Diceros bicornis minor: one gene and its partners. The protein of the gene in region 1 purifies or fractionates together with the protein of each later gene. This does not show direct contact. Links are inferred from orthologs where the notes say so. Each region holds a gene or a part of one and is shown in the gene's direction. Other genes may lie near its edges. The genes, in order: CDK16, CCNY and CCNYL1.

What was found.
Region 2: the proteins of CDK16 (region 1) and CCNY purify together in Homo sapiens (affinity purification with mass spectrometry; 3 studies listed by BioGRID and IntAct, counting the BioPlex papers as one, with this or other methods). This does not show direct contact. The link is inferred for Diceros bicornis minor from reciprocal best matches to the Homo sapiens genes CDK16 and CCNY.
Region 3: the proteins of CDK16 (region 1) and CCNYL1 purify together in Homo sapiens (affinity purification with mass spectrometry; 4 studies listed by BioGRID and IntAct, counting the BioPlex papers as one, with this or other methods). This does not show direct contact. The link is inferred for Diceros bicornis minor from reciprocal best matches to the Homo sapiens genes CDK16 and CCNYL1.

Annotation. Positions count from the first base shown.
Region 1 is NC_080781.1:41,022,190-41,032,754, forward strand, and holds the start of CDK16 (cyclin-dependent kinase 16), read left to right. Parts: upstream 1-5,874; 5' UTR 5,875-5,889; coding exon 5,890-6,105; intron 6,106-6,348; coding exon 6,349-6,556; intron 6,557-7,157; coding exon 7,158-7,291; intron 7,292-7,390; coding exon 7,391-7,516; intron 7,517-7,621; coding exon 7,622-7,678; intron 7,679-7,775; coding exon 7,776-7,890; intron 7,891-8,574; coding exon 8,575-8,669; intron 8,670-8,767; coding exon 8,768-8,830; intron 8,831-9,080; coding exon 9,081-9,204; intron 9,205-9,359; coding exon 9,360-9,480; intron 9,481-9,588; coding exon 9,589-9,686; intron 9,687-9,770; coding exon 9,771-9,876; intron 9,877-9,936; coding exon of another isoform or gene 9,937-9,957; coding exon 9,958-10,000; intron 10,001-10,153; coding exon 10,154-10,244; intron 10,245-10,565. UniProt on the Homo sapiens protein: Protein kinase that plays a role in vesicle-mediated transport processes and exocytosis. Regulates GH1 release by brain neurons. Phosphorylates NSF, and thereby regulates NSF oligomerization. Required for normal spermatogenesis.
Region 2 is NC_080775.1:33,110,810-33,120,637, forward strand, and holds the start of CCNY (cyclin-Y), read left to right. Parts: upstream 1-5,340; 5' UTR 5,341-5,789; coding exon 5,790-5,943; intron 5,944-9,828. UniProt on the Homo sapiens protein: Positive regulatory subunit of the cyclin-dependent kinases CDK14/PFTK1 and CDK16.
Region 3 is NC_080749.1:84,556,095-84,565,972, forward strand, and holds the start of CCNYL1 (cyclin-Y-like protein 1), read left to right. Parts: upstream 1-5,162; 5' UTR 5,163-5,330; coding exon 5,331-5,556; intron 5,557-9,878. UniProt on the Homo sapiens protein: Key regulator of Wnt signaling implicated in various biological processes including male fertility, embryonic neurogenesis and cortex development. Activates the cyclin-dependent kinase CDK16, and promotes sperm maturation.

The DNA of each region.
Region 1 (10,565 bases):
GCAAGGACTTGGAAGTAGTGAGGGTATCAGGCATGTGGATATCTGGGAGAAAGCATTCTAGGCAAAGGGAACAGCAAGTGCAAACTCCCTGAGGCTGGACTGTGCCTGCTTTATTCAGGAACAGCTAGGAGACGGGAGTGGAGTGAGAGGAGGAAGGGTAGGAGATAAGATCAGAGAAGTGATGGACCTGATCATCTAGCCCGCGGTGGACTTTTCTTTGTCAAATATTTCCATTCCCATCATGGTCCGGTAAATCCTCGCTAGTATGAATCGTACTGAAAACTCTGGTGTGACCAAGGCCTCTATAAAGGGAAGCCCAGAAGAGGCGGGGAAGCTGGCTTTGGACTGGGGTGCAGTGTAAAGATGCCCCCGAATGCTGCCGCCATTTGTGCTGGGCTTGGTGTAAGCAGAGAGGGGTGAAGGATTAGGTCTGCCTGGCAGTGTTGACACACAACAGGCGCCCAATAAATAAAATAGAAAACCGCAGGGCCGGGGGAGCCACGGGCGGGGCTCTGGCGGGCAAGGAAAGGTAGTTGAGAAGTGGCAGGAAAACCCAATTCAGGGTGCTTACGCAAACGCTCGCGTGAGGCGGAGAAAAGCCACCCTCCCAACCCAAAGTCCCAAGCATGCGCAGTAATGCACTCGCCCCTTTAAAGGTCCGCCTTTCCTCTCTTCTCAGCCTAGGCTCTGCCCCGTGAGCCTCGCTGAGGGAGATGGGAGGGGGTTAAAGGCGGGACGAAAGGCGATTGAACGCTCTTTTGACCAATCATCTTGCGGGATATTTGGCCTATAGCGACAGAGGAGCTCAGAACAAAAAGGAGGGCCCGTGCCCCACGACGGTGAAAACCCATGAAAACCCGGCAGAGGCGTGGTAGGGGGCAGCGAAGTCACGCCTCTTCAGCCCAGCCACGCCCTTCATTCTTGCTCTGCCTCACCCAGGGTGCAAATCCGATTGGCTGGGCGACAACCTCAAAGGGCGGGGCCGCACACGTTCACAGTGGGAACCAGCTAGCGGCGGGGGCGGGGGAGAGGCAGCTGGGCGGGGCTAGATTCTGTCCTATCTAAGGTGGTAAAGGCCAATGATTCTCCAGGCCACCTCTCCTAGAAAAGTCATCTTCTCGCGAACCTTTAAAATTCCTGCCTCCCGAGGCACCTCAGGAGACTGGGACTGACTGCCTCATCTGTCTTTTTCCTCCTTGCAAAAGTCCCGTTTGCCACCATGGGGATGTACCAATTGAGACCTAGTAGGGGGAGCGAGTGGTGACTGGCACGCTGGTTCCCGGCTGCTGCCCACTTCGGCGCTAGCAAACTTCTAGCAAGATCGAAACTGAGTAGTAAATAACCTCTACACTCCCTCCTGGTGCCGTTCCAGGGCCAGCGCCACATTCCCGGGTGTGCGCGCAATGGCCGCGCCCCCTCCCGCTGCGGCCGGGTCTTTTGGTACATGCAGTCCGAGGTGAGTCCCCTCCTTCCCACTTCACCCTTTCCAGCGTGTGCGTGCGCATGCGTGGAGCGCGACGCGCGCGGTGGTTGGGCTGTTGGCTGTTCGGCCCTGGGATCCGCCGCGTCTCCGCGAGCAGTCGGCTCTGAGCCGCGAGCCGCCGTGAGCTCTCGGATTCGAGCCGGCGCCAGCGAGCCCGGGGGCATCGACCGCAGCGGCCAAGCTCATGGCCGGCTGAGCGGGACGCCGCCTCCGCCTCAGCCACCGCCGCCGCCGCCGCCGCCTCCTCCTCCTCAGCCGGCGGCGGCCCGGGCCCAGCAGCCATGGCCGAAGACTACTGGGACGGGCGCCTGCGGCGAACAGGAGGAGAAGGAGGTCGCGCGGCCTCAACCCAGGCCGCCGCCCCAGGCGCCGCCGCGCCGGTCTCGCGGCGCTGAGGTTGCTCGCGCGCCCCCGCCGGTGAGCGCGTCCCCGAGACGTGGGGTGGGGGCTGCTTTTCCTCTTACAGAAACAACTCAGACACCGGGCGGTGCCCAGGGCTCTGGACTGCACCGCTGGCATGTGCCCCTTCCTCCAGCGAATTTCCCAGAATGCACTGGGGCGGGGGGTCATTCGGGGCCTCCCTGACCTTGGCCCCGCCCTGGGCCCGGTCTGGGAGCTGGGGATGGGCAGTACCGTGGGAGCTAATGGGGAGCAGGGTGATCGAAGGACCAGAGGGTGTGAAAATGGGTGGCACAGTGGTAAAAGACTCCAGGTTTGCTAATGGGAGTCGGAGCATGTGGTAATAAGTCTTACCGCTGTGTAAGGTTTGAGGCCCAGTGTGTTCTAGTGGGGGTGCAGTGCAGGGCGGTGGAGGGACCCGAGGGAGAGGATGTCAGAGGAGTGCTGAGACATGCAAATGGAGTTATAGCTGTAGAGAGGCCCTGTGTGTGTTAATGGGGGATAGGGTGGTAGAGGTACCAGAAGGTGTGCTACTAGGATCAGAACTCTGAGGCCCTGTGTGTGTGATAATGAGGGTCAGGATGGTGTTAATACTGTGTATTTGTCCATGAGGTACTGCAGCGTGTGAGGGTCCAGAGTGTGTTCACGAAGGGCAGGATAGTGGAAGAACTCATGTGTTGAGAATGTGCTAATGAGGGGTCATAGTTGTAGAGGGTAGGCGCATTTGGTAATAAAGGTCTGGGTAGTATGAGGCCCAGTATATGCGAATGAGGACAGTGGTGGAAGGCCTGAGCCTGTGCTGATGGATATCAGAGTTGTGGATATATTGGGGGACGGGGCAATGGAAGAGAAGTGTCTTAGCACTGTAAGAGGTTCAATGTATTAAGGATCAAGATGGTATGAGATCAGTGTGTGTGTGTGTCCATGAGGACAGAGGATGTGAGATTCAAGAACGCGCTAAGAAGGGGTGGGGTGATATATGTAGTTCTAGTGACTGCTAATGTTGGTTTAGAGCCATGGAGGTGCTTAAGTGTGTGCCAATGGGAGGAGAGTCAGCAGTATGAGACCTGGAATATGCTAATGAGCGTCAGAACATTGTGAAGACGGGTGTGTGTGCTTGTGTCTATGGGGGACTGGGGTGTGTTGAGGTTCCAGGGAGTGTTAATGGGTAGAGCTGTGGAGGGAATCTAGTGTGCAATAAGGAGGATCAGGGCTGGGAAGGGGTCCAAGTGTGAACCAACGGGGGTTATAGCTGTGGAGGAGTTGAAGCAAAGAGAAATGAAAGACAGGAATATGTGAAGGTCTAGGTGTGCTCAGGTGGATTAGAGCCATGGAGGGCTGACGTGTGTGCTAAGGGGAGTCTGGGCTGAATCAAGACCTTTGTTCACTAATGAGGGTCAGGCCATTATAGAACAGTGTGTTTGTGTGTCCCCGGGGAATAGGGCTGAGTAAGGGTTCAGGGTGTGCTAATGGGGAAGGCACTGTGTGAGGCCCAGTGTGTGATAATAGGGGTCAGGGTGAAGTGAAGGTCCAGCTTGTGCTGAGGGGAGGCGGTGTGGGGTGGGGGCAGGAATAGGGTAGTGAGGAGACCAGAATACATGTTAATGATAGTTATAGCTGTGGAGGGGTCTGAGTGTGGGCAAAAAACAGGTCAGGGATCTTCAAGGTTCACTTTGTGTTAATGGGATTCAAGGCAGTGTGAAGGTCCAGTGAGTGCTAATGTGGGTCAGCTGTAGAGGGTCCCAAGTGCATATTAATAGGGGTCAGAATCATGTAGGGGGAACAGTGTGTTGATGGGGGGGTGAGTGCTGTGGAGAAGCTAACAGGCGGCTGGACCTGGGAGGTGCCCACAAATGGTGGTAAGAGTTAACTTAGAGGGGCCTGAGTGTATGCTAATGAGTTGAGTGTTCTGCTGGGGCTTTGTATGCTGATGGATGTTAGAGATAAATAGGGAAATTGCAGGTGCTGATAGCAGTTCAAATGCAGAGAGGACTTCTGAGGGCCCAGTGTGTACTGAAAGAAGCAGAACACTGTGAGGGTCCAGTGTGTGCTTATGGGAGTCCGGACAGGAGGAGGATGGTGTGTTCCTGTGGGAGTTAGTCGAGTGGGATGACTGTGGCCTCAGTGGTGAGTGTGGTGTGAGGTGGTGAGTGTCCTTGGGTGTGAGAGTATTCTAAGGGTGGTTACGTGTCCTCGGGGGTCAGGAAGCATGTGTGCCCTTTTTTGAGTGGAGTTGTATCCAGTTTCTTGCTCCCTCTTTCACTATTCTGAAATCTAAAAAGCTCAGAAAAGTGAAACGATACTATTTAAGTTTTACTGCATGTTAATGTTCAAGTGTCTCTGTTCACAGGGGCTGCCCAGCGCCCCCCTGCTGGGGGTGGTGCATGATACACAGATTTTGTACTCCATCTTCCTAAAATCCCCAAAAAACTGAACTCTGGAACGTGTCCAGCCCTTGGGGTTTCCAGTTAGAGGTCATGGACCCATGGCTCTTTCTGGCACCCTCCTCATCCTCGATCTAGCCCTACTTACAGCCCCCTCCAGATCCCCCATTCCCTGCTACAACAGGCAAAGCGACTGGGTATCCGTGCCATATGGACACAAGACAGTCTTTGGGGGCTGGCCATGTTTCACCTTAGCCTCAGGTCCAGTGTTCAGCCTCCTGGGTCAGGATTTTGTTGTTGTTATCCTGGGTTCTCTGGATGGACCTCATCCTCTTTACTGAGGTCTTGCTAGGCTGGCCCCCTACCCCTCCTGGGGGTGGTGAGGTCAGGCAGGGGGTGTGGGGACCTCTAGGGTAAGCATCTGATTTCAAGGTAACAGATGACCCACTTCTCTCCTCGAATCCAGCCCCAGCCTCATCCTCGACCTCCTATCTAGCTCCACTTCCCTTGGGCCCAGGGCCATCTTAGGCCCTGCTGTGAGTCCAGATGGTTCCTGGGCCAGGTCTTTCCCCCTCCTTGCTGGCTCAGAGCCCAGGAGGAAGCAGAAGAAGGCCGGCCTGAGCCTTTTGGTGGCCGTGTTCCCTCTAGCAGCCCCATCTAGGTCATCTGCTGATGCTAGTGTCCCTGGGCCACCTTGTCTGGGGTTGTTCATGAGTAGCAGGGACTCAACCCTGCTCACTTTGGTAGAGGTTAGTCCTAGGCCTTTAGCCCCCTGATTCATTAATTTCTGCCATAAGCACTTTTTGAGCATCTACTCTGTGTCAGTCACTGTTCCAGGTCCTCAGGATATAACCATGACCTAAACAGAAATCTACCTTGGCGGAGCTGATCTTCTAGTTATGGCGGTGAGGAGACAGTAAAGAATAAAGAAGCCAATAAGTAGATGGTGTTATTTCTGAGGAGGTGATGAGAGCTGGGGGGAAAATTGGCAAGGTGAGGGACCTCAGGATTGTTGAGATTTTAAATAGGGTTATTCATGGAGGGTTATCCATAGAAAAGGTGGTTTTTGAGCAATGACCTGAAAGGGGTGAGAGAGCGAGCTATTTTGAAATCTGGGGGAAGGGTATTCCAAGTACCCGGAATAGCCGGTGCAAAGGCCCTGAGGTGGGACTGCTGGGTGTGCTTGCAGAACAGCAGCTAGCAATGATCGAGGGGGAGGTGACACTAGAGAGGTAATAGGGGTGAACGGGATAAGACCTTATGGGCCACATTGAGGACTGGGATGTTTATTTGGGGTGATAAAGGAGATGTGCATTCTCAAGTAGAGGAGAAATGTGACCTGGCTTATAAAAATCTGGGTGGCCTATGGGTCCCCACCTGATTGAACTCTTCCAGCAGCCCCTCAGGACAGCTGTTGTGCATTGAGATCCCCCCACAACCCCACCCAGTGGTTGGATCTGGGCAGGACCCCCCCTCCCTGCACCCCTCACCTGGGTAGACCAGTGGAGTAGTCCACTAGTCACCGTGACGATGGTTGCTGGGGGAGGCGGGAGAGTCCTTGTGGCTGCAGGGAGCATTCTGCCTTGGCAGTTGAGGGTGACGTGGGGCTGGTGCCAGCGGGACATGCCATTCTATGGGCATGCCCGGGGCCGTGTCTGTGGTCCCTCGGTCCTGGGCGAGCCCCCCGCTCCACCCATGGCTGAGTCCATCGCTGCCGCTGCACCCAAGAATGCCTGCTGTGGAGCCCTCTGCTCCCACAGTGAGGCTGCCCCCATAGAGGCCAACACTCCACCGGTTGGGCCCTTGACCTCAGCCAGCCACCCAAGCCTCAGTACCCAGGTGGGCTACTTAGGAACAGGGTACCCAGGGGCTGGCCATAGGTGAGCAGTTACTGGCGAGGGTCCTCATCCATGCCAGGCTTCCAGGAATCCTGAGTGATTCCAGGGCTCCACAGTGGTTGGGTGGGCATTGACACAAGTTCACGTCAATGTGCCTTACTAGGTTGTCATGGGTTTTAGGAGGCCCGTGGTGGTCAGGCAAATGCTAACATGGGACCCATTCCCATCTGTACTCCCTGCTCAGGTCGCCATGGATCGGATGAAGAAGATCAAACGGCAGCTGTCCATGACACTCCGAGGGGGCCGAGGTGTAGACAAGACCAATGGTGCCCCGGAACAGATAGGCCTGGATGAGAGTGGCGGTGGTGGTGGCAGTGACCTTGGAGAGGCCCCTACACGTGTCGCCCCTGGGGAACCTCGCTCTGCACGGGGCCCGCTCAGCTCTGCACCAGGTGGGTCCACTGACCACTCCCACCCCCAGACTGGTCCCCAGGTGCTGCCTCCCAGCTGAGTTCCTCTTAGACTTGTGTTATTTTCATTTTCCTTTCTCCATTTTCTCCCCCTTCCCTGCCATCCTCTCTCAACACCGTCTCTTTATCTGTCCATCTGTGCCCCTTTCCTTGGCTTTGTGCCCAGGCCTCAGCAGGAGGAAGGGTGCCTTGCCTGCCGCAGCTGCCCCAAGCCTCCCTTTGCCCTTCTCCTGTGCTCTGCGATGGCCCTCTTAGGTCTCCTGGCTCCTGCCTACCCTAGGCCTGCCTTCCCAGGGCCTTTGACTACCTCTGCTGCTGCCTAGCCCCTGGCTCCGGGCCAGCCACAGTCTCAGCTTGCCCCTGGAACAGGGTGCTCCACTAGGTGACTGTTGCTCCCCCCCCATTCAACCTGTCCTGACCTGTCAACCTCTCTGGGCCTTGCCACCCTCTCCCTGAGGGTCTCCAGGCTGCTCCAGGGGCCCTGTGCATACATGTGTGATGAGGGAATGTGTTCTGTGGGAGACGGGGTGTCCTGGGGCTCCTGACCCTGCCTGGCCTGCCCTCCCCCTGTCCCCACTACCAGAGATTGTACACGAGGACTTGAAGATGGGTTCTGACGGGGAAAGTGACCAGGCTTCAGCCACGTCCTCGGATGAGGTGCAGTCGCCAGTGAGGGTGCGCATGCGCAACCATCCCCCACGCAAGATCTCCACTGAGGTGCTTAACCCCCTGTCTGGATGGTGGTGGGGCTGGAAAAGAGTTGGACCTGGGGAGGTGGAGCTCATGGTCCCGTTTCTTCCCCATCTTGCCTGCTAGGACATCAACAAGCGCCTATCTTTACCAGCCGACATCCGGCTGCCCGAGGGCTACCTTGAGAAGTTGACCCTCAATAGCCCCATCTTCGACAAGCCCCTCAGCCGCCGTCTCCGCCGTGTCAGCCTGGTGAGCATCTGTTATTCCTGTCCTCTCCTCCTCCTCCTCCCCACCCCCACCCCCACCCAGTCCCCTCCCCTGAGCCTGCTTCAACCAGCCTCCTTTACCCCACAGTCCGAGATTGGCTTTGGGAAACTGGAGACCTACATCAAGCTGGACAAGCTGGGCGAGGTGAGGAACAGCCAGGAGGCCCATGGTGGGGATGGGGGCCAGGGGGAACTCCCTGTAGCCTCAAGCTCCTCTCCTGTCACTCTTCTTCACACCCCAGGGTACCTATGCCACCGTCTACAAAGGCAAAAGCAAGCTCACAGACAACCTTGTGGCACTGAAAGAGATCAGACTGGAACACGAAGAGGGGGCACCCTGCACCGCCATCCGGGAAGGTACAGACATCCGGGAAAATCTGCCCCAGGCTTCCCAGGCTCTCTCCGTGGCACAAGCACTCACCCCCCATAGTGAGAACAGAGACTCGAGGGTTCTGGGACTTCCCGACACTCTGAGCTTCGTGAGAAAGTGCCCATCACCCACATATGTAGGTAATAATCAAGGTAACCAGGAATCTCTTCCTGTTTGGAGAAGAGGCAGATGAATTGGAAAGCAGTGTGCTTGCTTTGGTTCTAAGAGCACCCCTGAAAGTGCTCACCAATTTACTGACACAACAGTTTCTAGTTAGACTGTCACATGGAGTGAATTTGAATTGCATAAAAATTGAGTGTGCAAACTCAGTTTCACATGAAGCTGCAGGCTTATGTACTGAGGGTTGGAGCAAGGCCCCTTTCCAAAAACCAAAAACGGATTGTGACAATCTAGTGTCACATAAACCTGGGGCTGCAGTCCCAGGTTCTTGCTCTGTACTCTTCTCTGAGCTTTAGTTTTCACATATGGAACATGGGGACACACCTTCCTGGCATTGGGTGGGTTAGAGCTGGTGGCTGTGAGCCGCCACCCCAAACTGCACTGGGAAAGAAGGAAACCCTGGGCTCATCCCTGTCTGGTCCTCGTCCTCGCCTCTATCCTGAGGGTGGGGCGCTGACTCTTCCCCTGTCCCACCCCCATGTTTCCTGCAGTGTCCCTGCTCAAGGACCTCAAACACGCCAACATCGTCACTCTACACGACATTATCCACACAGAGAAGTCACTCACCCTTGTCTTTGAGTACCTGGTAAGGTTGGGTGGCAGTGGGTCCCAGGGGGAGGTGGGGAGATGGCCAGGAGCCACAGGATGTGACCCTCTTTCCTCTACCTGCTCTTCTCTCCTTAGGACAAGGACCTGAAGCAGTACCTGGATGACTGTGGGAATGTCATCAACATGCACAACGTGAAAGTGGGTGTGGGGCAGGAAGCAGGGGCACAAGGGGGCCCCCACTCACCCACTCTACCCCACAAATCTCCCAGAAACGGTCTTTTCCCGTTTGGCTTTTTTGCTGGGAGCCCTTGGAGGGCATTGGGACCCTGCCCTCTTTTGTGAGACAAGGCCCTGGGCTCAGTGTCTGTGTTGGGAGGGGGAGCAGTGCCTGTTGGGTGTCAGGCTGCTGGATACTCTTTGACCTCTGCCTGCATTCCTGGGTCCCCAGCTGTTCCTGTTCCAGCTGCTCCGTGGCCTGGCCTACTGCCACCGGCAGAAGGTGCTACACCGAGACCTCAAGCCCCAGAACCTGCTCATCAATGAGAGAGGAGAGCTCAAGCTGGCCGACTTTGGTACCCCTGGTCTCCCCCTTTCCCATGACCACCTAGTCTAAGTCCCCTTCAGCCTCTCCAGGATTTGCTTAGGACGCCCTCAGTACCAACTGCACTCTCCCCCAGACTTCCCAGGACCTCCTCAATTCCAGCTGCCCCTTCTCTCCACCTACCAGGCCTGGCCCGGGCCAAGTCAATTCCAACAAAGACCTACTCCAATGAGGTGGTGACACTGTGGTACCGGCCCCCTGACATCCTGCTTGGGTCCACGGACTACTCCACCCAGATTGACATGTGGTGAGGACAGGTGGAAGTGTGGCAGGGGCCATGTGGTAAAGGGGGTGGCTCAGTCACAACAGCCAGCCAGCCGACTGCCTCCCTCTTCACTGTGCCCTCCCTGCCCAGGGGTGTGGGCTGCATCTTCTATGAGATGGCCACAGGCCGGCCGCTCTTCCCGGGCTCCACAGTGGAGGAACAGCTGCACTTCATCTTCCGCATATTGGGTGAGGAAACACAAGCCCTAGGAGCTGTGGAGACATGCATGGAGACCCTGTGAGATGCTTAGGGTAACTCCTCTTCCCTTCCAGGAACCCCAACTGAGGAGACATGGCCGGGCATCCTGTCCAATGAAGAGTTCAAGACATACAACTACCCCAAGTACCGAGCCGAGGCCCTTTTGAGCCATGCACCCCGGTGAGGCTGGTGGGTAGGTGGGTGTTAGGGGCCAGAGTGCCCAAACTCAATTTAAAGCAGGTCCCCTTGTTCTTGTGGTAGACTTGACAGCGATGGGGCTGATCTCCTCACCAAGTTGCTGCAGGTGAGACCATCTTCCTGGGCCAGCCTTGGGGGCTAAGGGATTCCAGGTGTAGGGAAACGGAGTTCCAGGGGCAGGGTCTGGAGTGGGGAGGAAGAGAGGCCTACTCATTGGAGGTGTCAGTATTCCACACATACACCCCCGCCCCCCACTCAGTTTGAAGGTCGCAATCGGATCTCCGCAGAGGACGCCATGAAACATCTATTCTTCCTCAGTCTGGGGGAGCGGATCCACAAACTTCCTGACAGTGAGTGGATCTGGGGAATGGAGCTGCCGGTGGGGGGCCTGTGGGAAACAGGACAGCTGCAGACAGCTTGGGCAGGTCGTGTAGGGCTCTGGCTACGCCACCTCTAAGAGGGTACACCCTTGTTCACACGTGTGATGTGTTTATTACAAAAAAAGTTATTTTCGTTTTTAGTTCCTGTCACCTTTCATAGAAATTTTCAAACATACATAAAAAAATAGATGCAACATCACTTTACCTGGTGTGCGTGTGTGTGTGTGTGTGTGTGTGTGTGTGTGTAAGATCGGTCCTGAGCTAACATCTGCCAATCCTCCTCTTTTTTGC
Region 2 (9,828 bases), on another chromosome or scaffold:
CCACCCCTTTTCCAGTCAGTGGAGGAGTCATGAAGAGGGTCCAGGAGATTCAATTTCCTGGGTCGGGTGGATCTTCAGCACACAGACCAGGGCATACTCATGGGTTTCCTCTCACAGGAACCTTTGGCTCTAGTTCTGGGAATATTGAAGGATCTGTATTAAAATAATGTATCAGGCATTTAATTCTTTTAATTTCCATAGGGACTAATCTGCCTTTTCGAGGAACAACTTCCTTTTGACACCAAAATCCTACCTTGGCCTGCCTGTGGCATCTTCCCATTCCAACCTGCTTCTACTATGGGGAACCAAGTATATATGGGTACCCCATGGTTCTAGATCGGAGTCCCTATTATCTGGGGGTCAATCAGTGAAAACTGACAACATGAATATATAAAACTGTATCAGAGGATAATATCAAATCCTGGCCAGATCAATAACTTGGGAGTTCAAAATAACAGTGGTTGATACAAGTTTCTCATGTAAAAGAAGAGTACAGAGACATTACCTTAGTTCATGGCTTCCATCTTTAAGGTCACCTGGTTTTCAAAAGTGCATGCTAGATCTAATTCCAGCCATCATGCCCACATTCCAAGAAGCAGAAAAGAGGAAGCCTCTTCAGAGAGCTTTCCTGGAAGATTCTGCTCACAGGTCATTGGCCAGACTTAGTCACGTGGCCAGCTGTAGTCTTTGAGGTGGGCATACTGCTGGCCCTCACAAAATGGAGGGCCTGGTACTAAGGGAGATGGGAGAATAGACACTGGGTAGTGAAGCAGCTGCCTCTCCCAATCTGACCTGTGAGATGCTGGAATTCGCCTTATCAAAGGCACATCCTAGCTCTCAGAGACCACACAGACATTTACCATGTCTGTTCTTGGTAAGCAAGGAGGGATCAAGAAGATGGAGTCTGGCAAGAGAGAGATTGTACTTAAGGCTATTTAGCACGGGGACAAGTGTGAATTCTCAGTGGTGAGGCAGAGAAAACAGTTTCCAAGTGGGCCTTCGCCCAGATACCTAGTGACTGTGGCTGTCCCCTCTTCGTTGTTTACTCTGTAAACGAGGGTTTTACTCACGGAGAGGAAATGTGTGCCACAAGTGCCATCTTCTCCTCCTCCCTTCTTCACGGCAGCGTTCTTCCCTCTTGAGCTGGAACATGACCTCAGAATCCTTCTCAACACAATGTTTCTGGCAGTTACTCTGCTCCAAAAGACTTGGCATTGGTGTTTAAATCTACCAGCCATCTTTAATTGCTTCTGGAAATTTTCGTTCCCACAGAATCTCTGGGTATAATTCTTTACTTCATAGGAATAAATACCATCTATTTATTCCAATCATCTCATCTTTTGACTGTGTACCTTACTGGACTATGAGTTTCTCTAGGGTGAGAACTATCTCTTATCCATTTTTGTATCCCCAGGGTGCCTGGCTCAGTACACTTTCAAGAAATGTTTTATCAATAAGTGAATCACCTACATTAGTCAAGGTCAAGTGGCTATCAAAGTAACTACTTCCCCGATAGCTGGTTATGCTGTGGACTGCTTACACTGAGGACTAAAGGGAGGCCTCATTTGGTTGGGAGTCACAGGAAAATAAGAGGGGTGCAGGAAGAGCACTGGAGCACTGGTGGTACACAAAGGCCCTGGTTAGTCCACAACTGCCTACACGTGTTTAAGTAACTGACACAGGAAACTGGCTACCAGGTGATGAGGAAAGGGCACTCTGAGTAGGTTCTTCTGAAACTCCAGCCATTTTCCTTCTTTTTTTTTTTGGAGGAAGATTGGCCCTGAGCTAACATTCGTCCCCATCTTTCTCCACTTTATGTGGGACACCTGGTACAGCATGGCCTGACAAGCAGTGGGTAGGTCTGCGCCCAGGATCTGAACACGCAAACCCCAGGCTGCTGAAGCGGAGCGTGCGAACTTAACCACTATGCCACCAGGCCAGGCCCTCCATTTTCCTTCTTTTGAGCAAAGGTCCAGGTCCTGGGTTAACGGCTCAGTGTTTTCTGAGTTCTAGGGAGATGTGCAGATGACTGATTCATATTTCATGGATATGAGTGTGGCTGAAGGAAGACTGTGATTATGCTCCCCCTGATTCAATGAAGGCAGCCTATTCTCTCTTTTTTTAAAATTTTTTTGTGAGGAAGATCAGCCCAGAGCTAACATCCATGCTAATCCTCCTCTTTTTGCTGAGGAAGACCGGCTCTGAGCTAACATCTATTGCCAATCCTCCTCCTTTTTTTTCCCCAAAGCCCCAGTAGATAGTTGTACGTCATAGTTGCACATCCTTCTAGTTGCTGTATGTGGGACGTGGCCTCAGCATGGCCGGAGAAGCGGTGCGTCGGTGCGCGCCCAGGATCTGAACCTGGGCCGCCAGTAGCGAAGTGCGCGCATTCAACTGCTAAGCCACGGGGCCGGCCCGAAGGCAGCCTATTCTCATTGATTTGTTTCTATAAGTAGATCTTATAAATTAATACTGATATTGCTTATACGTTTTAAATATTTTGATTCCATTGAAAATTTTGTTTTAAAAAAAGCTATGACTGCTAAAAAAAAAAGTTTGAAGAGCACTGCCTTAGCTAGTTTGCACAAGTTCCATATTTACCTCTTTACAATAACCAAAATCTCAAATCGTGCTTGTGAAGAAAGATGAAGGAAAATTATTCCCAGATGTTTCTTGCTGCTCAAAGAGCAGGCTGAGGTATGAGTAGATCAGGTTGAGTCTTTCTGAGCAGGCTGAACGTTTTGAGGACAGCTTCCCTCTCCCCACCAGCCCCAATCCTGGGCTAGATGCACACTGAGGAAGGGTCCCTGCATTCACATTTCCACGTGATACAGTCTCAGAGATGCTGTGACTAAATGCAGATGGTATTTTTGCGGAACGTCTCTCTTCGACCTTGCTGCCTATCTACTCACTGTGGTCAGGAGGGCTGGGCCCCACAGAAATAAAAAGGCTCCCCTCTCTTCTTCAAGTCTGGAACCAGTCCTAAGCAGTCTCTCAGAAAGAGAACAGAAAAGAGAAGAGGAGAGAAGCAACACTTGTCTCTTTTCCACTCAAAACATTTGTGGATTTCTTCTCTCGTTACTCTAATTTGCTTCCCTGCTCCCCTCTGTTCAGTGACACCTGGCGGTGGGGGCAGCTGAGAGGGGGCCTCACAGACTTTGTAATGGGAACCAAGGTTCAAATCCCCAGGTAGGCCATTTCTCAGTAATCTGACTTTAGACGAGTTTAATTATCAGAATTAAAGTGTCTTTATTTGTAAAATGGGAGATAACAGCATAGGATTAGATGTTAAGAAATGCTCAGCATCTAGCAGGTGTTTCATAAATGACACCGTCCATTATCATCCTGGCATCACACTGCCTCTGCAGCCTTTCCTAAAATGTCACTGTGTGTCAAGCAGGACGCATCTCTACCTGGAGGAGTCTGAAGTGTGTGTGTATGTGTACAGGGGGTGGGGTGGGGGGTTGGCACCCAGGTAAATCACTGGCGAGGCTTCAGCACTTATCTCCACCCCCCAGGCCTGTTGACCAAAAGTCACACTCCTGAAAAACCCAACAGGTACATTCCTAAAGGGAACATGGCAGGAACTTCAAAGAGGGGGTGGGTGTGGTGGGGGGACAGAAAAGTCCCTGCAGACGAGCGGGGGTCCCCTCCTCTGGCAAGAGTCTGTGGCTACCCTTACCCCCAGTCGCGTCTTCCCTCACCTCCAGATGCTCTTTCCAGTTAACACTGCCCGATGACCCGCCACAAGTGCCATGCTGTCTCTCCCGGTAAGCCCTTCAAATTATATCATTAACACAAATATTACAAATTTTATGATGAAATAAAAATGACAATGCGCCGGCGTAGGTATGTTCGGTGATTGGATGCTTATAGCGCCCAAATTACAGGACAGCAATCAGAGCAGACGATCGGGTCACCCCTCTCGGCTCCTCAGCCATCTTACCCACACACCGCAGCCCTGAAAATCTGAGTCCACACATTCCCGGACTTGCAGTTCCGCCCCAACCAAACTTCCCTGCAGCAATGACAGACCGCATTATTTTGTCTGTCCGCTACCTCCCCGCCTCTTCCGGGCCGCAGTTCTCGGGAACTTCCTTCGCGTTTCCCCCCTCTGGTCCGCATGAGCACTGCGCTGCCCTGTACCTGGGTTCAAGGACGCCCACCACTTAGCCCACCGAAGGGCGTTACTGCGGTTCAGGTCGTGGAGCTTGTTAAAATACGGACTCATAGATGTATAAACACTCCCGCCGGACAGAGGGAGAGCACAGTGACAGAAAGGAGACACGTCAAGAATCAACGGAAGTACCGTGTATGAAGCCTCTGGCAAGACACCTCCACACCGCTGACGCTCGACGCACACCGTTCCCTCACTCCTTTCTCCCCGCGCCTGTCGCCACACCAGGCCTGAGGCCTTGGGTCCATCAAGGCACTTCATCTTTCTGGACCTCAGCTTCCCTATACTTACAATTAAGGGGAATGTACCGGCTCTGTCGTGTTCAAACGCCCCCTCCCCCGAGCCCCTCCTCATGACTCCCTCAGTGACCATCTGGAAAGGGGGGACAGGTCGTTTCCGCCACCTTACACTCTTCCCAAGGCAGGCGGGAGCCAACAGTCTTCCCGGCCGAGCATGGCGGGCGCGGGGGCGTCGGGAGGGAAGCGGAACCCACGATTTTCTGAGGATCCCCCACGAGCCAGGCCCCGTCGCGTCCTTTCCCTCAGTTAAGTGGCCTCAGTTCAGACCGCTCCCGGCCCGACAACCCCGACAGCATTTTAAAAGCAAACAAGGACAGCTGACGCTAAGTTACCTGTCTCCACCTCACATGAACCTCCAAGGAACTCAAAACACTGCAGCTAAGTCGACATCCCAGGAGCCCAGGGCCCCAAGATTTACTCCAGGGTTAAAACAAGGGCCCCGTCAAGTCCTCGGCAAAGCTCAAAGCAGAAGCAAGAACTCCCAGTCAACGTCCGGCTTCCTTTAAAACGTTTAAGAGAAAAAAGAAAAAACAGCCCCTCCCGGGAGCAGCAGGGGAGGCTCGGCGCCCCCAGGCCGCCCGGCCCCGGCCCCGGCCCCGGCCCCGGCCCCGGCCGCGCTCGCCGCTGCGGCCCCGCGAGCGGGGGCGCACGGCGCTCTCGTCACAGCGTCGAGCCGGGGTGGCCGCGGAGACCGGGGAGGGCACCGAGACGCCGGGCCCCCCTGCGCGGCGCCCGCTCATCTGCTTCCAGGGCAGCGGGAAGAGGCGGCGCCGGGCGGGGCGGGGCGGGGCGGCGCCGGGGCGGGAGGGCGAGCATCCTCGCTGCCGCACCGCGCCGGGCCCAGGGCCGCGCCACGCCCGCCCGCCCGCCCGCCCGCCCGCGCGGACCCGCGCCCGCCGCCTGAACCGGAACCTCTCGCCGAGGCGTCGCAGCCGCCGGGGCCGGGCGCCGGCCGGGAAGCGCGGGGGAGGCGGCCTGCGCGGCGCCGCCCGCCATGGCCGCGGCGGGCTGAGCGGGGCTCGCGGCCGCACTCGCGCGGACCGGGCGCTCCTCGCGCGGACAGGCCCCGGGCAGGGCGGGCGCGCGGAGGCCGAGGGAGCCAGGGCCGCCGCCCGCTCATCGCCGCCGCCGCCGCCGCCGCCGCCCATGGCGAGGCCCCGCCGCCGCCGCCGCTGCTGACCCGGGGCCGGCCGCGGCTTCCGCCCCTCCCGCGGCGGCGGGCGGGCGGGCCTCCCCTCCACGCCCCCGCCGCCCGCGCCCCGCGCCGGGCCGCGGAGGAAGGCGAGCGCCGCTGGAGCCGGGGGCCGCCGAAGATGGGGAACACTACCTCGTGCTGCGTGTCGTCCAGCCCCAAGCTCCGCAGGAATGCCCACTCCCGGCTGGAGTCCTACCGGGCCGACACGGACCTGAGCCGCGAGGACACGGGCTGCAACCTGCAGCACATCAGCGACCGGGAGAACATCGACGGTGAGCGCGGGCGGGCGGGCCGGGGCCGCCGCGCCCTCCTGACCCCGCGCCCCGGCCCGGCTCTTTCGCTTTCTCAGCCTGCTCCGGCCCCGTCCCCGGGCGCTCGGCCCCCGGCCGCCCCTGGCCCCTGGCTTGGACCCCCGAGGGAGCGGCGGGGGGACTCGGCCGGCCGGCGGCCCGGGAGAACCGCGGGTGAGGGTCGGTGGGGACGGCGCGAGTGGCCGGGGCGGGGGCGGCCGGGGGCCCGGGTTCCAGGCTCTGTCTATCTGATCACAGCCACAGCCGAGTTATGCGCGAGAAGGGTGAGCTCGTCTGCCCTTTAAAAGGCAAAGGGGATGGATTATCCCTGGCATAACTGAGGAGCGAATTCCCATTTTGGAATCACAGTCTCTACCTAGTGTTGGAGAGCAGGGTTGGCCTGTGTCAGCGCCCCGGAAACTTACAAATTGACCCCACTTGGCTGTCCGCCACCCCCATTTCCGTTAAAAACGAAAAAAAAAAAAAAGGATTTTTGGGAAGTTGAGAGATTGGAGGCAAATAGCCTCACCTGAATGCTTTTAAAAAATTTCTTTAGAGTATTATCAGAATGGTTTGGAGACAGCTTTTGGTTGAGTCACCTCGTTTTTGCTTAGAACCGAATTACAGTCCTGTGAATTTCTGAGCTGAGTGACTTGGTTTGGACTAGTGTTTGTAAAGGAACTTAACGGACTGATCACTGCACCTAGTAATGTTTATTTACTTTATTGGTCTTAGAGTATCTGTATTAGTACTGTTATATCAATAAGCTACGTGACTGAATATCTACAGATGGGTAGTTTATGCATCATGCCTGAAATACAGTTTACATAATTCCCAACTTTAAAAAATTTGAAATTGGAAATATATTTTTATGACAACTTGATTTTTCTTTTTTTAACCCCCAAATCTTCTCACAGTTGATGTAATTGAACTAACCTGAATGTCGTATGAATGCATTGACACAACTCGATCATAATTCATTGTTGTTGACTTTAGGATGGAGCATTTCCTCTGACTTTAGGTGGAAAGCCAAATTTAAACTCTACTAAAGGAAAGAGTTTTTTCATTGTTTGGCCTCCTTGAATTTCTTCTGAATAGTAATTGTATCTCTATAGGACAGCACCTTTATTAAATGAGTACCATATATGAAGAGACTGACACAACATTTGGTTTGTAGTAGGCGCTCAGTAAGTTATGGTTTGGTATGACTTTTCTAGTGTTGTTATTTTAGACTTCCATTATCTTAACCTACTCTTTAGATGTTTTTGAACTACAGCCATGCTTTATTTTTAAATTCATGCACTTAAAGGCATCTAGAAGGATATTAAGGCCAGATCTGTTTTGATCACTGCTGTAGTTCCAAGCACCTGAAAGAAGTGTCTAGCATATAAAAAAGACTTAAGTGTAGTATTTTAAAAGAATGCATGAATAAATGAGGTTATTATAGAAAGCCATTACCCAGTCTTATACAATGTTGACAGGCAAAAACATTTGAAAATAATTTCTCCTTTATGTTGGGCATGAATACTGGGTAGAGGCTTTAGGTTTAAATACTGGATTTAAAAAATACAAAAAGGAAGAATCACATTTCTTAGAGCCAGGCTGCAGGATGTTATTGACTATAGTAAGAAAAACAGGGAAAAAAAAAGTAATTGTAACCAGCTGTATGGCACTAAGGATTAGAAGGATTTTGCCAGAGAAAAATAGAATAGTATTGTGTGTTCTTTCATTTGAAAGAAATCTAAGTTTTGGTCATCAGTCATTTTTGAGAAAACATTTGGAAGTCTACCAACTCTTGTTTTGGAGATGCAGGATAGTTAAAGAGACTATAGGGCAGGTTAAGAGGATTTCTAATCTAGGCTGTAGTATCCTTTCACCCCAGAACCCAGTTCAGATGAATGCTAGTTTAAACCTGGAAATACTGATTCACCATTTAAGGAATGCTTTCTCTCTCTCTCTCCCAAATTCGTTAAGTAACTCTTCTAGGATTTACCCATCCAGCAATTCTCAACGTTGGTTTCAATTAAACCAGAAATCTAGGGCTAGGCCTTGGCATTAGTATGTTTAAAGCTCTTCAGGTAGGATACAGCCAGGGTTGAGAATCACTAGCTGGGTATGTCTTGGAAGTGTTACCTGTTGTTCAGGGACATTGTCGGTGGAAATTCATTCAGTGTCAGGCTGGGAGAAGTGAACAGATTTGTTTAAATAGTATATAGATATATATCTATATTTTAATTTCTGAGTTATTTTGATTGTTAGATGATTAGTAAACATTTTCAAACTACATCTCAAGAATCCTTGATTCTTGATTCTAGTCTGTAACAAAAGCTGAAGTGCTCAAATACCGTCTTTCTGATATCCTGGAAAACATCCCAGACAACTAGAATTGAAAGGTCAGAGAAGCAGTTTTCAGTAGTAGATTTCACTATATGAGATATTTTTCTCAACTTATACCTTAACTTTTCAGTCTAATTGGCAAGTAAGTTATCCCTTACCTCACCTGCCTCCAACGTACATGCCTGCTCAAGAGGCTGTTCTGTTCTTCTGCACTCAGAGGCTCATAATCAAGGACAGAATTAAAATGTCTGTGTTGATGCTACTCTTTCCTGAATCGTGATAGGTCAGTTTGTTAAAATCACAGAGACATGAGGTATGTAGCCGTGTTTTCCATGCCCAGACACACAGTGGGTGATGTTTGTTCTGTAGAATTTCCATGACTGAGCTAGGGCAGTTGGGCTTCCATGACACCTACTGGCAACTTGCCCTGTCTTTGTACTTAGGGTACCTTAGTGTTAGGTTGTTCATGTTTTTAAGATTTATATTAGACTCCTCAGCTCCCCAGGTATTATTTCTCATAAAATCATTCCAAGATTGAGAAGTAACAAAAGCATTTAACAGCGATGATAGTAACAGTTGCAGCCCTTATATATTGTCCACTCTGTGCTAGCTGCTGCTCTTGGTGCTGGATATCTCTTCATTTAGTACTCACAATAACCCTACGAGTAGTAGTATCCTTACTTTAAGACAAAGGAATGAGGCAGAGAGAGGAGAAATGACTTGCCCAAAGTCATACAGCCAGTAAATGATAAATGGAAACTGTTGTTGCTTGACTAGCCATCAAACGTTAACTAGTCTGGGGCTGCTTCTGGGGTAGGGTGTTTGTCACTGTGGTCATATCTGTAGTTTCTCTGAGAAGGAACTTCGCTATCCGCAACAGGCTGACTGCCCTGATTAGATTGTTTCTGTGGGAGGAGAAAAAGAGAGATGGACTAAAGAGAATTTAAGATTCGATGAGACCAAATAAATCGGGATATCTGTAACATGTGTACCGTAGTGTCAGTTTGGGGTTTTGTCTCAAAATGATTGATAGCAACTTCTTCCTTTGTAGATCAGCCGTCGTCCTTGGCAACCCAATTTCTCCCTCATCCCGTGTCCAATCCGCTAGAAAAGCGTGACTCTCTACGTTCAGACTAGATCCAGAGTCTGACCACTTCCTACAACCTGTCCTGCTGCCCTTCTGATCTCAGCAGCCATCGTCTCTGCCAGCCTCACTGCTCTCCCTGCGTCTACCCTGCCCACTGCAGTCTCTTCTCAACACAGCAGCTGCGGGGAGATCCTTTTAAAAACTTGAACACGTCACTCCTCTGCTCAAAAACTGCAGTGACTCCTTAGTTCACATTGAGTGAGAAAGCCTTATAGTGAGCTTCCACAGTGGAGTCCTTCTGGTGGACTCCAGGGCCCTTTGTGACCTGCCTGCCCTCCCCACTCACCCACTCACTAGCTCATTCCAGCCACACTGGCGTCCTTCGAGGCTGTTCCTTGAACACACTAGATATGCTCTCACCCCAGGGCCTTTGCTCTGTCCCT
Region 3 (9,878 bases), on another chromosome or scaffold:
AGAAGAGTAGAGGCCCAGGAAGGCAAAGGAAAGTCCAGTCTCAGAACTGCAGGCCCTTCCTAGAATTTGTCTCATAAGATGCCCTGTGGTTTGGAACTGTAATGACAGTGGATATTGGGGTCAGAACTGACCTGTCCAATGAACATTAACTGCCCTAATGGTATGGCAAACTAACACCATTTTTATTGTTTTCAGAGCATTATGTCAAATAAGTTAATATTCTCATCTCACCCGACTCAATTGGCAGAAAGAAACCTATATGCTATGAGGAAAGAAGGTGAGAGAATAATTCAGAAGGCGTGTAAAGAGACGGGTGGAAGAAGCACTGAACAGTTTCCTAAAATGTGAGTACCAGCACCATTGAATGCTCCACTTACTGAGAAATCTGGATTATAATTTTCTGAAGTTGGAAATCAGTCGTTTCATGTCAAATCAGGTATAATAGTGGTTCTTAACATTTTTGTTCACATATACCTTTGAGAATATGATGATAACGATAGACTCTCTGCCCAGAAAAAAATGTACATATGACTTACACACAAAAATCCTATTCTATAAGAACTAGTCATAATACTCAAGATGGAACCCAATTAGTCACAACTCACATATAATATATAATCCTGATCACTTGACTGCCATAAAATCTTTCTTGCATCTAATCTAGTTTAATTCTATACTTTAAGCCTCTCTCACTTTTTGTCCTCTAACTTTTAAGAAAAGATCATTACAGCACTCCTTGTATAAGTTTTCCATATTTGCTTGCAAAGGGCTACGAAATTGTATCACGATCATTCTTTAAGTTGAAACTTCCCTAATCTTCCCTTACAGATTGTGGTATAGCACTCTATGCCACAATCTGTGCCTTCCATTACCTAGTACTCCGTTCTACAGTAGTTACTGAGCTACATGATTACATTTCCTGAGCCTCCCTTGTAGCTATGTGTGGCCATGTGACTAAGCTTTAAGCCAAAGATATGTAAGGCATTGTGCTATGTGGATCTTCCAAAAAATCTCCCTTTGTCTCTTCCTCCACTCTGCTGTCTGGAATGAAGATATAATAGCTGGAGCTCAATAGCCATCCTGGGCCATGAGTCTGAGGTGTGACGGTCAACACTGTCTGTTGACCTCCCTACTAGAAGATAAATTTCATGAGAACAGGGATCTTGTTTATCTTGGTCAAAGGAACATCCCCTGCACCTAAAAAGTGTGTGACATGTGGTAAGGGCTCAGGTATTGAATGAATAAAATGAATGAGTTTACTCCAGGCCCATGTAAAACACTAATCATCAAGTCCTCCCAGGGGAAGTTCAGCCATAAGTAGGCATATGCAAGATCTCAAGTTCTGTCACAGAATCAAACTGTGGCTTAATTCAAACCACATCACTCCTATTTGCTTCACTTAGCTCTCCCAGACTGGCCACTGTCATAGGACAGGGCTTTTTCTTAATGCTCTCCAATGCTCTCTTCGAACAAAATATTTTCAAAACAATGCTTCCCAATATTTTTCTGCTTAGCAAGTTTAAAATTCTTTAATTTTCAAGGTCATGGGTATCTATTTTTGTGTGTGTCTGTTGTTAAATGCAGGCACTATTTTGTAACTTAATATTAGGCATTGTTTCAAGTCTACAAGAATCATCCAAAATGGTATCTAATAACATTCCTTGGACTTCAGATGGTATCATTATTATCACAGAATGCAGTCACTAGGTCCTAAGGATTTAACAGGATGTCATTCACTGAAACTGAACTTCACTGAATCCTTTCCCATTCCTGTTTCCCACATTTCAACATATTGCCTATTTATTTATTTATTTTTGGTGAGGAAGATCAGCCCTGAGGTAACATCCATGCCAATCCTCCTCTTTTTGCTGAGGAAGACTGGTCCTGGGCTAACATCTGTGCCCATCTTCCTCCACTTTATACGGGACGCCGCCACAGCATGGCCCGACAAGCGGTGCATCGGTACGCACTTAACCAATACGCCACAGGGCCAGCCCCAATATATTGCCTATTTTTATCCCCAAACCTTACTTACATCTTTTAAACAATTCCATTAAATATTAATCATCCCTGCTTCCCTGAGTTTTGAGGTGACTTTCCTCCTGCTATCCTTCTAATAGAGAAGAACACAACTTTTGGCCCCCTTTTGATCCCTTATGTGACTAAAGGGTTGTGAATATTCATACTTGTTGCAATTACATGTCATTTTCTTCTTAATTTTGTTTTTACTTCTCCCTAAAAGTTGTTGCTATTTCTTTTAACTATCTGGGGGAAGTAATTAGCCCCATCTTCTACTTTTGTGATGTATCTATTTATACTAGAGCTCCTTGGTTTTTGCTCAAATTTCTCGTCAATTTATCCACCTTTGAGGGAAGATATCATTTGATTTTTGTTAGGTATTACCAAGCTTTTCTGAAGTGTAGACTTCTCTACACATTATCCTCTTTCCCACAGTAGCTTTCCAGATAGAGCTTATTAAAGCAGAAAACAATAGGACTTATGCCATGAGCTCTTCCTAAGCCTCTACTCTCCCAGAAACGTGTCTCTGGCCACACAGGTCCTCGCTCCCTCTGCTCTTCTGTCAGTCCAAGGCTAAGCTACCCCTGCTCTGGAGTGCATGCACTTCAGCCTTCTTGGGGACCTTGCTCTGTTAATTCTCCCTTCTCTTCTAACTTCAGACTTTTTTTTCTCCATTGGCTCTTACCCTTTAACACATAAATATACTCATATTTTTTCCCATCTTAAAAAATAAGCATCCTTAACTGTCCATCTCCCTCTAACTAGTACTGCATCTCTTTTCAGTTAAATGTCTAGGAGAAGCCCTCAGTCCCAGACTTTGCTTTCTCACCTCCTCTTCACTTCTTTACTCCCTGCTTGCCATCTGGCTCACACACATCCCCAGTCACCCGGTTGCCACAGCCAAGGCACCTGGAGCTTTCCTGCATTTGACTCTGTTCAGGGGATCCCGTATTGAGTTCCCACCGGCTAGGCCCTGTACTAGGTACTGCCTGTTACAGAACCCAGAGGCAGAGGTAACCCCCACCCTCCTGGGACTCCCCTGATCAGCCATTCCTCATTACCACTCAGTCCCTGGACTTCCACTGCTCACCTTTGCAGTCTTCACAGACGTGCCACCTCAATCTCCCTGTTGTCTGAGTCTCCTTTCTTTCTTTCCTTTCTCGTTATACCTACCCTCTCAAGGCAATCACTTCTGTACCATCGTTTCAGTTACTTTCTACACACTCTAAAAAAATACAATTTCAAACGTTGTTTTCATTGAACAGTTTTATTTTACATAGGATGCCTCATTTACTAAAACCATAGATTCCAAGTTGCTCCATGAAAATAATCATTAAAAAATGTGATATTCTTTGCATAACAACTTTAGGAAATTTCCCCAATTACTTTTTCTGGTTTGATTTAATATATGTGTTATTTTCGAAAACTTAAGTTGGGATATCACAAAACGGACTTAGTCAAAAGAGGTTTATATCCAACTTTCAACCAGAGAGCTCCATTTCAACGGTCCACTTGGAGACGAAAATGATGTCCACTCGCCAAGCCTACTCCTGTCCTGCCTCTCTACCCAGGAGAAAGTCACTACTGCCCACCCCGTCCCCAACCAGAGCCCGGGCGGCCGTGCCGCTCCCCTCGCGTCTCGGTCCACATCCAGTGTCCAGCTCTTCCCCGGACGGTCTCGGGTCCTCTCCCTCCGCGTCAGCCCGCGCCGCCCCCAGCGGGGCCGCTGCTCTCCGGGGTGGACGGAGGGGCTCTCCGCCGCTGTCCTGGCTCCCTTCGCTCCTCCACACCGTGGAGTGACCTCCCTACACCGTGCGACAGGGACTCCTCGACCTCGCAGCACGCGGCCGCTCTCAGGTCTCCGAGATGCGACTCGACCCCTTTGCCCAGCGCGCTCTTCGGGGTCAGGGGCGCGAGGCCGGAATCGCGGGCTGCAGCGCTCTCCGGCGGTGGCCTCGGACGGCGGGACTCGAGCCCCGTGCCCCCGTGCCCCGTGCCCCCGTGCCCCGTGCCCCCGTGCCCCGTGCCCCCGTGCCCCGTGCCCCGTGCCCCCGTGCCCCCGTGCCGGAGCTCGCGGAGGCAGCGTCTCGCCCACAGGCCGGCGCGCAGACCGCGTCGAGGGAGGGACACACCTGGCAGGCCACCGGAGACGCGTCCCTCCCGGAACACCCCGACGGCACTGTCGCCTCCGCCCACGCCGTCCTTCCGCCTGCGTGTCCTGAGGACGCCGACGAGGCGCCGCGGGGACCCACACCTGGACCGGGCCCGGCCGCACCCCAGCGGCCAGGCGGCCGTGGGGGCGGTGCTGGCGTCCGTTTCTTCCGTAGAGGGAGGCGCCTTCCGAGGGCCGAGTGAGCGCCCGCTGGGGCGCGGCGGGGCCCGCCCGGTGCCGACCGTCGTCCCAGCTTCCGCACGGGAGCGGGGCTGTGCCCCTCTCCGGCGCCCCATTTTCTAGGCGCGGGGGGTGAAGGGGGCAGGCCGGGCCTCCTGCGCGGAGGAGGAAGAGCGGCGGGCAGGTCCCGCTCGCTGGGCGGTGACGTGTCCGAGTCCGTCCGCACGGCCGCAGGCGGAACCGGTGGTTCCGGTTCTGGACCGGTGCTGCGGCCGAGCTGCGGGCGGAACCAGCGCTGTGAAGGCGGGACCGGGAGCGCCTCGTCACACAGCGGCCACCGAACGTGTCACCAAGCCCGGGGAGCGGCGCGTCAGGGCAGCCGCTGTCGGAGCCGGGCTGCGGGGCCGCTCACGAGCCGGCCCGGTAGCCTCCATGGAGCCCGTTGTCCAGACCAGGGCGGCCCCCCGAGCGCCCCCCGCCCGCCGCCCCTGCAAGGCCGGCGCCCGCGCTGGGGGGAGGCCGGCACCGGCGCTGAGGGACCCCGCTCCCGCGCCGCGCGGGGCGGGCGGGGCAGCGCGAGGGGCGGGGCGCGGCGGTCACGTGCCCGGCTGGGAGGCGGGCGCGTGCCGGGAGCTCGGGCATGATTGGTCGGCCGTAGCCTGGTGACCGCGGGGCGCGCCGCGGTTGGCAGCCGCCGGGCGAGCGGCCTCAGTCGGGAGGCGGCGGCGGAAGGAGGAGGAGCTGCGGCCGCGCTCTCTCCCGGCAGTGGCTGCGCCTCCAGCGCCGGTCGGGTCCCCACCCCTTTTCGCTGAGCCGGCCGGTCGCCGCCGTCCGCTCTGGTCGTTGCGGGGCGGCGGCGCGGGGCGGCGGGCTCAGCCCTGCCCGGCCGGCGCGTGGCGGGCAGCGGGCGGCGGGCGTCGCCGGGGCCAGGCGGCCGCGCCATTGTGGGGGAGGGGGCGCGGCGAGGCGCGGGCGGCCCATGGGCAACACGCTGACCTGTTGCGTGTCCCCCAATGCCAGCCCCAAGCCGGGCCGGCGCGCGGGGCCGGCGGCGCGGGACTGCGGGCCCGAGGGCTACGAGGCGGCGGCCGGGGACGCGGCGGCGGTGGCGGCGGCGCCCGCTGCGGTGGAGCCGGGCGAGGCGGACCTCGGGGCGGGCGAGGGCCACCACCTGCAGCACATCAGCGACCGCGAGATGCCCGAAGGTAGGCGGCGGCCGGCCCCGCGTCCACCGCGCCCTCCCCCGCCCGCCCCACGGCCCGCCCGCGGGTGGCCGCCGTGTGAAGACCCGCGGGGCCTTCGCCCCGGACCCGGACCCTGAGGTCCCGACCCGGGCGTGTCCGCCCCGCCCCGGGGTCCTCGGCGCGCAGGTTCGGTGGAGGGGCCGCGGAGAGGGCGGGGACCTGGGTGGTCCGTCGCCCCAGAGGCGCGTCGCTCTTCCCGACTGCCGCCAGAACACGGAAGGAAGGAGCACGGGGAGAGCGGGCTCAGCGCGGCCGGGGCGGCCCCTCTGTGAGCGGGGAGCGCGGCCGGCCCCCGTGGAGGGCCCGCCGGGGCCGCGCGGACGCGGGCCGGCCCCTCTGTGAGCCGGGAGCGCGGCCCCGACACCGCCGCTCCGAGTTTCCCGAGAGCGGCCTCCCGCTTTCTGGGTGGCGGAGAGGTCTGGGAGTCGGGGTGCCGGGCCCTGCGCGGGCATGTGTGTCTCCGTGTCACCCCGTCCCCTGCTCCTGCCCGCAGAGTCCCGGGCAGCTTGAAGAGCGCTGAGGAGAGAGTTCTGCAGACGGAGCGGCCGGGGGCGGGGAGGGTGTTTCGATTTTTGCGTCTAGAATTTTGGAAAGAGATGAGTCTGGGTAAAAATAATTCTGGATGACAGCGTGGCTCTTGGATGAATACTGTGTTTGAAATAGGAAACATCGGATCGTAAAGCTGTTAAAGCCCGTGGGTCCGTTTGTTTGTTTTTAAATGCCAGAGATTATTTCATGGAGGAAAAGTCGTATAGCTCCTCCTCTGTTTCAACTTTAGTTGGGCTCTTAATTTCTTCAAAAGTAAGAATAATTAAGCCTGTGAGTTCACCTATGTGATGGTCGTGGCTTTGTAACTGGGAAATACTCCCTTTTCAGATATTCAAATATTGTGAAAGAATGAGCAAATTATGTGAATTAATTAATTGTACCTTAAATCACAAAGCCTGTAAGGACCTGTGAAAACTTCTGCTCTGCCTGGGTCTGTAAGGTAAGCCTCTGAGTGGTGTTTACAGACCAGTTAGTAGATGGGCAGTCTTGGATGAGAGACCAAAAGAGGACCTTTATATAGTCCTTTAAGATTTATGACACGTTTTCGTGTGTATATCTCATTTGGCTCCTCCAGCTACAAATAAGGTCTGCGTGTATTCTCTGTATACAGCTGATGAGAAAACTGAGACTTAGAGGTCTGAAAAGTCTGTATAACACAGCTCCTGAGCAGAAGAGAATGACATGGAGGTGGTAGACATGCCAGATTCAGTTCTCTTTAGAATGCATGTTATATTTTATAACATCCATAAGGTAGGCCTGTCTTACTCCAGGCTTATTTCCATTCAAGGTTCATTGTGCACAACTCAGAAGCCACAGTCACCTCTCCATCCTATGTCTATAAATTCATTACAATGGATAAGAATAAAAGTAGAAATCATGAACTAGCCTAAATTTACCAGTCAGGTAAACAAGTGGATATATTTTAGAGTTTGTTCTGGTGACCTCGAATTGAAGCTAAGAATCCCCTGGACAGAGGAACATTAGGAGAAGCTGGTAAGAGGGCAGATAAGGTGCCAAGCATTAAGCATAGGACTATGATAAGGAGTGTTAAATCAGAAAAATTGAAAAAATATAGTTCATGAGTACAGAATTTACTTTTTTATGTTTAAGATGATAGTTAAAATTTCATTTCAATTTGTCTTTTAAAAAACCTTTTTTTGGCATTCAATCAAGTGATAAGAGAAACCAGTTTCAGCATTTGCCTGTTAAGTTTCCATGGAAACAAGGTCAGACCACCAAAAATAAAGTAAGACACACTGAAAGTTTGCTTTTAATGTCTTTATTTCAGACAGTTTTATATCAGTTTCCCTGGAAACTGAGAAATACCTATTTAGATGTAAAACATTTTGGCTCTTGTACAATGAAGAATTGAGTTATTTGGTTACTTAGACGAAATCATACATAAATGATACTCTGCCTTGTTCTTCTGAAACATTTCAGAAGAACATGACTTCTTTGAGCCATTTCGAAGAGCTGTTTCTGTGAACCTAGCGTAGGTTCCAGATGGACTCACAAGAGTTTTTCTGCTACCTCGCCTTTATCTAACAGTGTATCCAGTATAACCCGTGGTAGTATCAATAACAAAATAAGACGTGAGGTTCCTCTTACCTAATTTTATTATTACTCACCAACTGTTCATGCAGACCTTTGTGTTTTGACCTCAGGAGCTTTGCTAATTTGCTGGCTAAAGGTGCTCTCTCAAGTGACCCCTTCCTCCCCCTCCCACTGAGTGAGTAGGGAAGGAATTGGCAATATGATGTGGAAAAACCTCTGAGCAATGGATCTTTCCTCTTTCCGGTAGCTATTTTAAACCTTTTTTTTTTTTTTGCTTTTTTTGATAATAAATATTTGATGGAAAAGATTTAGAAAATACAGAAAAGTCATTCACTCATACTCAGAACGTCCAGAACTTTTATAAATATTTTGGTGTTGATTCTTCCTGAACCTTTTGTATGTGTATAAACATAACATTTTATTTTACAAAAATGAAATCACTCTTTATGTGCTGCTTTGTAACTTTTTGTTATGAAGAGAAGTAATGATATAAAGCTCCTGGAAGTGTGCTTGACACCTGGAGAGTGCTCCAGGATGTACTTCCATGCAACTACATGTAGCTCTGCTACACACCTCTTGGTAACTGTTTAGTGTACCATTGAACGGTTGGAGCACCATTCATTTCCCCACCCTTTATGGTTGGGCCTCTTTTATACTAAAATAGCACACAATCCCGTTATAATTCTTCATTCTGGGGGTACAGGTAAAAACTGATGCATTGTACCTCCCTGTAGGGTTCAGATGATATACTTTGTCTTATGACAATTAAATACATAGAATGAGTCATTTTATAGTTAAGGTATTTTAACATTAAATGTTCTTATCCCAAATTAAAATTATCATTGATTTTTCACTGCACCTTAGAATTCCTCTTTTAGGTTTTTGTGGTTCTTGGTAGCCTGTTCGTGTTTTTAGTTCTGAATAACTACCACTCTAAGAGATCTGAAAGTAATGCTGGTCTTAGATGACAAATCAGATGACAGCATTAGAAGAAATCTTTGAAGATGTGGGAAAATTGGGAGAAACATAACGGGTACTGGGTACACTGAAACAGTGAGATGTTTATTGGGCACGTTCCAGATGCAGGACGAACAGTGGTATACAAGACAAAGCCCTTACCCTAACTCAGGTCCTTGCATTCTAGAGGGCCCTAGGAACAGACAACATATGAATAATCAAGAATGTCAGGCAGTGAGGTGCTGGGAAGAAAATAAAGGAGGGTAGTGCACTGAGGAGGGGGCAGTTTTACATGGGGTGGTTAAAGACAGCTGCTCTCCTTCAGTGACACATGAGCAGTCCTAAAAGTGAGCAGGAGCCATGTGAGGATGTGGGAGAAGAGGCTTCCATGCAGAGTTCCTCAGGTGGGAATACGCTTGGTGCAGGCAAGGGACAGAAGGAGGTGGGGGTGGCTGCAGCAGAGTGAAAGGGATGCCAGGAGGGAAAGGTGGATTAAGACCTTGTATGCCTAATGGACCTTGACAAAAAATAGAGATTTTAGTCCAGTTGTAATGGGAAACCACTGGAGGATTATATACAGGGGAAACATGTTAATTCTTACCAAAACAAAACAAAAAACAGATCAGCTACTGTGAGAATAGACTAACGCAGGCAAGGGTGGTACCGTAGTTCAGGTGAGAGGAACAAAAAACTATAAGGGCCTAAAATAGGCTGACTTAAAGAAATTTAAGTGAATCTAAAAGTAGGTTAAAAAAAATACGGATGGACAAGTCACAGAAGAAATGCAGATGATCCTTAAACTTATCTTCACATATAAGAGAAATGCAAAATAAAACTATACTGTAGTTTCTCTCCTATTGGGAGAAAATCCGTAAACTTGGCACGGCATTCTTTGGTGAGGCTGTGAAGAAACAGTTACATTCTTAAATTACTGATGGAAATGCAAAATGGTTCTATCCCATGAAGGCAAAGTTGGTGCAATCTCACAACATTGCAGATGCATTTAATCCAGAAATCCTAAATTCAGGAATTTATTCTGAAGACATAACCCACAAATATGAAACCACACATTCACAAAGTTTTTGTTGCATTATTCTCAAAAGCAAAATTTTGGAAATAACTCAAATGTCTAGTAAGGGACTGGTACATTCACACAATGGAGAACATGGAGCTGAAAGAAAGAGTAAGATCTCTTTACTGCTATGAAGTGATCACCTGAAAAA